Drosophila melanogaster: one gene and its partner. The protein of the gene in region 1 purifies or fractionates together with the protein of each later gene. This does not show direct contact. Each region holds a gene or a part of one and is shown in the gene's direction. Other genes may lie near its edges.

Region 1 (3,606 bases):
CTTCCCGCTCCCGTTCCCTCGGCAAAGTGGAGGGTGCATACTGATGGATTCCGGGGTTGGGGTTCGTTGACATGTTGATTTCGCGTTACTTCGTGAAAGGCGTCATGTACCCACAATTGTTCGTTCAGGCGGCGAAATGTTGCATGTAGGGCTTTACCCAGCCACGGTCGGCAGGTCCCTAGATGGCCTGGAAAAAAATGAGAAAGTGGGAAAACCATTAGTTTAAGTTAACTGGAAACTAATTAAGTATACAAGTCCACCAATTTAAGTATAGACACTTCCTATTAGTGAGAAAGCCCCTAAATGTAGGCAACATACATATCTATATATTTTTTTTGAAAGGGGATTCCCCCGAGCAACAAAATTGTGCAGTAATGTATATGTAAGCCCTCGCATCTTTTCTGGATACACACCCAAATCCTCTTACTTTCCATAGTCCTTCATCCGCAACTTACCGATTTTCCCCCAAGTCAAAGTCTTTTTAAAGACAAACTTTCTACCGCTTTTTATGAGCACTTGAAGTTATACAAAGAAGCAAAAACTGATTGCGGAAAAAATCAATTAATACGCAACAAAGTAACTCCTTCCCGGTTACTGTCCTGGTTACCGACTGCACACACAAAAGCCCGAAGTTAACAAAGTTGTAACCCGGGCGGACCGACAGAGCTCCGGATCCGGACTTTGGGTACGCACAAGTACAAGTATGCGGACGGAGAGCGCTTTTAGAGAGGCGAAGAGCGCGTGAGAGATTTGTTTGCATAAACTGTTGTAAATGTTGCGGGACCTGGAGCATTACTAGGCGGGGCACATCGGTGGGCAGATGGGCGGATGCCACAATGTTGCACTCAATGCCATCGATTTTCCGGGCGTTCAGTCAAAACAAACCACCACAAGCGAAGTAAGCGCTCGTAAAGAGCGAAAAAAGGGGCCTAGCTTCAACGGGAGCTGGAGAGGATTGCATCTCAGCTGAGCGCAACTTTGTTGCACGACCGACTTTTCCCGAAGGACGACCGGGCGGGCACGTGCTCCGTTTACCCTTATTCCATTTTCCCGCCAAGAGCGACACATGCGCGGTCCCGCATCCTTGCACTTTCACTTGCCAGGACGTGCGCTCTCCGTGCTCATGGCTCTCCCGCTCGCCGAGCGCAAATTAATGGCCGTGTGTGTTTTTGTAAAATTACTTTGACCGAGATACGGGGCACTGGAGAAGGATAAGGACATGGCGATGGCTATGGGCGCTGGAACCGGAGAGCCAGCCGCATGTCCTCTCCCATTTTAGTGACATGGACGCCATTACAACGGCGATGGCCTCGCACACGCACACAATCACACGGCCGCAAACAAACCCGATTTGCCAACTTTGTTTCAATTCGCCAATAATTACAATGTTGCCCAGCGAGTTTCGAGCACCGTTTAACAGATGGGTTCTCACACACCGCCCTGTCGTTCACATACTTGTTGAGGTAGTTCCATGGCATCCAAAACTGAATTACATTTTAATAAAAATCAGTGCCAAATGCGCGACTTGTACGTGGATTATTGTTGTGTTATCGATACGCCGATAGGCTGGCTTCTCTTCCTCATCCCTGCCAGCCATTCGCAGCGAACACTTATCGATACGCGGTGATAGTTATTCCGTGTGTTTTCCCATCTCTAACGCGTTGTAGTAAAGGAAAAAGAGTGGGAAACCAAAAATTGATATTTTTCTGAAAGTCTTTCAAAGTTACGCTTTAAACTAGAAGCAATCATGTCCACGGAGGACTTTTACCTACGCTACTACGTCGGACACAAGGGCAAGTTCGGGCACGAATTCTTGGAGTTCGAGTTCCGGCCGGATGGCAAGCTGCGGTACGCCAACAACTCCAACTACAAGAACGACACCATGATCCGCAAGGAGGCCTTCGTCCACCAGTCCGTGATGGAAGAACTGAAGCGAATCATCATCGACTCGGAGATCATGCAGGAGGACGATCTGCCCTGGCCGCCACCAGATCGCGTGGGTCGACAGGTCGGTTTGCCGCACTCCGTAACTAGAGCTCAACTAAACAACCATGTGTCTTTTTCAGGAACTGGAGATCGTCATCGGAGACGAGCACATCTCGTTCACCACCTCGAAAACGGGATCATTGGTGGACGTGAACCGGTCAAAAGATCCCGAGGGCCTGCGATGCTTTTACTACCTGGTGCAGGATCTCAAGTGCCTGGTCTTCTCACTCATCGGCCTGCATTTCAAGATCAAGCCCATATAAGCCGTAGCCACCACCTCAAGCATAGCCTATTTATCGGACGGACACATCGTATTTTATAATGGAACTTCTACGATACTTGTAATTGTATAAGCTATACCTTTGTACTTTTTGGTACAGTTTGCAGTGAATAAAAAAGGATTGGAAGATACTTTGTTTTCAAAGTCTTGTGTACAGTCTAGATTGTGCTATAGAAGTAAATAGCAAATCTTCGATGTAGTAGCAGACAACAAGTTTAACAATAATAGCAAACACAATAGTAAACCATTTAACTTTTGATGTTATAATGTGTAGGTATATTTGAAAAATACAATTTAATATCTATTGTGTTTGAATAATATACATACTCGAGATAAAAATTTAAAGTCCTTTACATTTGTACAATTCGTATATGTCTAAAACAGCTTAAGCTAAGTGATTAATATCTCACAAACTGGCAAATTGTCTTAACGTTTAAGTACAAGCAGTAACTTAGCCTAAGATAATGATCGGTATCTTAAGAAACTGGAATAAAATACGCACTCACATACGGTTTTGAGACTTGCAAAGGGTTTGGCTTACATATGCTACTAAATTCAGTCTTTGGGGTGAGTACTTTGCTAACGAAAGTACAAACTAAGGGCCTGCAGGCGATGCAACACTATAGAAAGCTCTTATAGAGCCGAATGCGTAGGTCTCAGAGTCATAATTGTGGCTGCTGATGCAGCGCCAAAGTGGCTGAGATATTGTTACTGGGTCGCTCCAAATAGCTGCCATGTCCTGGCACGGGCATTGACATTGGCATCTCAAGATGCTGGTGGTGGTGATTCAGCTGCGCTTGCTGTAGATGCTGCTGCGGAAGTTGCTGCTGGTGGGAGAGTTGTGCCTTCAGGAGACTGGGAGATGCCTGCAGCGGAGTGTTGCTGGACACACCGACGCTACTGCCGCCAGGACTGGGACCACCCTCCTTCAGCGGAACGCCGATAGTGAGACGCACATGAAGACCAGACTCCTTGATGAGATTCACTACATCGCCGTGCGACATGCCAGCTATCTCGATGCGGTTTACTGCCACTATGCGATCGCCCACCTTGAGCTCTCCACAACGATCCGCCGGACTGCCGGGTATTAGTTTCCCTTAATACGTTGATATGTTAGATGAATTGAAACAAAGTCTAAAGTCAGTGGCATACCTATTGTCGAGCCGTAATAGTGGTTCGATGATGATATGATAACAAATCCGAAGCCCTCGTTTTCATGCCGGCTGACAATCACATCATAAGGATAACGACGCAGTTGTGTGCTGACTGGCGCCTGCTGCAAAAGCGGAGTTCGACGACGGCGAAGGATCATGGTAACCTGCCCGCGTAGCGCCGATTCT
Region 2 (4,007 bases), on another chromosome or scaffold:
TAATAAATATGCAAATCCGTTAAATATCAAAGCAATATATAATACTAACGTTAACAAAGTAATTCATTTTCGAGGATATATATATATTTTGGCATCATATGAACCCCTTTGCCTACGCCACTGAAAATATGTTTATTTCGGGGCGAATGGCAAATATTAACACGAAACACCGGGTGAATGGCAAATGCAGTTGACAAGCGACGCGTTTATTTTTTGTGTTCACAAATATCTTAAAAACGATTTCATTTCGGATTGCGAATGAAAAATGTCGAAATCGGCGCTGAAACACCTAAAGAGCACCTGCCGCGTATGCGCAAAGTATGCAAGCAACAAGCGGTCGCCGAAGTTATTCGAGCGGAGCAACACAAAGATGATCGACAACATTGAGGCGCTCACAGGCCTTCGGGTAAATTTTTCACTGCGGCTTTATGGAATTTATGTAGTTATAGCTTAATTTATTGGTGTTTAATCTAGCTGGAGAACTACGGTTGCCTGCCGGATCAGATATGTGAATGCTGCAGCATGGAACTGGCCTCCGCCGTTAAGCTGAGGGAGCGCTGCATCGCCGCCCAGCGTGAGCTACTCTTGGGATTGACCGAGGAGCAACGCCAAGGCATCTCGGCCTTCTACCGGGCGGCTGTCATGGGCGAGGATATTGTCCAGACGGTGAAGACGCCCGACGATGATGAGGTCTATGCCACTTATCAGGAAATCGTATTGGAAGAACCTAAGGAAGAGATCGACGACACCAAGGTAGAGTACGATAATACCTACTACGAGGTGGCCGAGGGACACGCCGGCGAGGACGACGCAGCCTCCTTGATTGAAGAGGCCGACTATGATTCCATAATGGCCGAAGACGAAGAGCAGCAGCAAACGTTGGAGCTGGACGAAGACACCGAGCTAATTGTGGGCGACGTCAACGACGCGTACGTCTACGATTCGGATGATGAGGTGGCCGTTCTTGACAACGTGCTGGATGATGAGTACGAGCATGAAAACATTGTCGTCAAGAAGTGTAGTCTGCCGCCAAAGCCAAAGGTCCGGTCGGATGATGCGCGTCGTCGTGGCACCGGCGGAGTATACATCTGCGAGCAGTGCGGCAATCACATCAAGGGACGCATGGCCTTTGAACTTCACTGTCGTCGCCATCGTGGGGACAAGCAATTTGGCTGCGAGTGAGTACATTTCTACTCCTTTTTGGATACAGTATGACTAAATGGATTTATTTTCAGACTCTGTCAGTCGCGCTTCTGCACAACTTCCGAGCTGAAACGCCACATGCGCAAGCACACCGGAGAGCGACCGTTTGCATGTAAGTACTGTGGCCGCTGCTTCACAGACTACACCACGCGCGTGAAGCATGAGCGTACCCACACCAATGAGCGCCCCTACGTCTGTGGTACTTGCGGCAAGGCCTTCACTACCGGCTACATCCTTAAGAACCATATGCTGATACATTCCGGCGAGCGGGCCTACAGGTACGTTGAGTCATACAGCTACACAGTACCGGGAAACCCAATAACTAGGTTTCTTAGAAATTCTAAGATCATATTATGCGGCATTACAAGAGTTTTCCAAAACCTTATGAGAGTTAAGATAACTAAATATTACTTATGTTGCCAAATTTCGTGAGTAATATTTAGTTATCTTATAATAATTTCTTATAATAATATGAAACTAGTGATACTGGTACAGTTACTGAAATGTTTGAAATGCCATCTAATACTGAATCTTCCCCTCAAGGTGCGAGCTGTGCGACAAGTCCTTTATGCTGCCCACCCACCTGAGCACCCACTTCCGGTCTGGCGTACACAAGCGGCATCTGGAGAAAGCCGAGATGAAACAGGTCCTGGAGCAGGAGCAGAAACGTGAACTCAAGGAGGAGGAGGAGGACAGCCTGCACATCTAAAGCTGTCCTTATAATATATACATAGCAATTACAGGCAATGCTAGACCGACAATGGCGCACAGCCAAGGAGCATTTCTGCAAATAATTAACAAACCAATTGTAATATGTAGAACTTAATATTGAATAATAAATCAAAACTTCAAATCCCAACTTATGAGCATTTATTTCATCTGTAAAAATTGCTTCCATGCGAATGGCAAACGGAACAGCTGATTGACAAGCATAGCATTGTTTACAAAAAGTTTGGCGTTTCAAACTTTTTTATCGGCTCAAAAATGGAAGGAAAAGTGTGTCGCACTTGCGGCAAGCGCACGAATGCTGAAAGATCATTGAATATTTTTGAAAAGCGCAATCAAACTACGCTGGAACACATCAAACTACTAACTGGAGCTGTGGTGAGAGGATAATAATGCGTAGTGTCTTTAACTTTCTAAAGTTTTTTCTCTTTACAGTTAAAGAACTGTAGTACGTTGCCAAATCGACTATGTGCGTCCTGCCAAACTTGTTTGCAACAAGCCATATCCTTTAGGGAACGCTGTTTGGAAGTCCAAAGGGAGTTGCTCCATTCCCAAGATGATGAAGACTTCCTTAGAATCTGCCAGGAATCTCCCAAAAGTGTCCTTGAGCAGGAGGAGTTGGAACTGGATCTGGCAGAAATAAGCATAGAAGTCGAGCGATTAGACGATCTCAATGAAGGGCCCATTCAAAGCTCCGGTTTTAAAGTGGAGGACATTCTAAATGAATCTAAAATCAACGAAGACGAGCCCAATAATGAGGACGATATTGATTATAGTGAAATGGATTACCTTATTTACGAAAGCGATACTGAAGTAGATGCAAAGCAGGAACTCAAATCAGACTCTGAGAATCCCAAAAAAAGGAGAAATCGTCGAAATCCCCGCGACTCCAATAGGACCTTCTTTTGTGAGGAGTGCGGAAATCACATAAAAGATCGAATATCATTCATACTGCATTGTAAGCGACATCGCGGCGTCAAGGAGTTTGGGTGCGAGTAAGTGGCAATTCTACTTAAGATTGATCCTAACTAATCCGCTTCATTTAAGATTCTGTGAGGATCGCTTCTGCACGCCGGCGGAACTTAAGCGTCACATTCGCAAGCATACCGGGGAAAAGCCCTTCAAGTGCAGACACTGTTCCCGCAGCTTTTCTGACTACAGCACTCGGTTGAAGCACGAGCGGACTCACACTAACGAACGACCTTTTGTCTGCAAGGAGTGTAACAATGCCTTCACAACATCCTATATTCTTAAGAACCACATGCTCGTGCATACCGGGGAGAAGGCTTTTAGGTAAGCGGGTACTCGAAATAGTACTTAAGTGTAATAATAATAATCTATTCTATTTGCAGGTGCGACCTCTGCGATAAGTTATTCAGTCGCTACACACACCTTACTACCCATTATCGTTCAAATGCTCACAGACGAAACATGCAGAAAGCAGACACAATCTTTGATAAACCCTAAAAGGTATCACTTAAGAAGCTCTTAGTTGAAAACGGTTGCATTACCAAAATAGGAATTTTTACAAAAAAAATCAAAACGGATAATCAAATTGTGAACTATATTTGGCTTTAAAGGTTGAGATGGACTCATTAAGGTCTAGTTTGTACTATACATTAGAGTGGATGTTTCCAGAGCAGCCAGGCCCAAAGACTCATCCTGCTCCTGCTCCGCGGGCAAAGGCACTTCTATCGTAAAGGCATCCGCCTCTGCTTCTGGCTCCTTTTCCGTCACGAATTTGACCTGATCCGCTGACTGGGATGGTGACAGCTGAACTCCACCCGCGTCTGCCATCGATTTCTCCAAGTTGTGCTTATGAGTGTTAGAGCGGAAGTGAGTCTTCAAGTGGGTGGGTCGCGCAAAGGATCGATGGCACAGCTCACATCTGCAAAGGATCGGCTAGGTGATCATTAACTTAAGCACTATTTATCATAGTTTACTAGCCTGAACAGGCGCTCGCCCGTGTGGATAAGCATGTGGTTCTTGAGGATGTAGGAATTGGTAAAGCTCTTGCCGCACTGCGCACAAATAAAGGGTCGATCATTTGTGTGGGTCCGCTCGTGACGCAGGCGACC

Evidence for each region.
Region 2: the proteins of mago (region 1) and ranshi purify together in Drosophila melanogaster (affinity purification with western blotting, with the first as the bait; one study listed by BioGRID). This does not show direct contact.

Annotation. Positions count from the first base shown.
Region 1 is NT_033778.4:21,126,947-21,130,552, forward strand, and holds mago (mago nashi), read left to right. Parts: upstream 1-1,630; 5' UTR 1,631-1,747; coding exon 1,748-2,008; intron 2,009-2,066; coding exon 2,067-2,249; 3' UTR 2,250-2,791; downstream 2,792-3,606. Other genes in the region: Tmtc3 (transmembrane O-mannosyltransferase targeting cadherins 3), read right to left, coding at 1-73; magi, read right to left, coding at 2,929-3,362, 3,419-3,606. UniProt on the Drosophila melanogaster protein: Core component of the splicing-dependent multiprotein exon junction complex (EJC) deposited at splice junctions on mRNAs. Involved in exon definition of genes containing long introns, including the rolled/MAPK gene.
Region 2 is NT_033777.3:8,727,841-8,731,847, reverse strand, and holds ranshi (ranshi), read left to right. Parts: upstream 1-2,154; 5' UTR 2,155-2,187; coding exon 2,188-2,307; intron 2,308-2,364; coding exon 2,365-2,924; intron 2,925-2,976; coding exon 2,977-3,222; intron 3,223-3,281; coding exon 3,282-3,396; 3' UTR 3,397-3,481; downstream 3,482-4,007. Other genes in the region: M1BP (motif 1 binding protein), read left to right, coding at 266-406, 475-1,178, 1,236-1,481, 1,747-1,912; CG8159 (uncharacterized protein), read right to left, coding at 3,532-3,817, 3,877-4,007.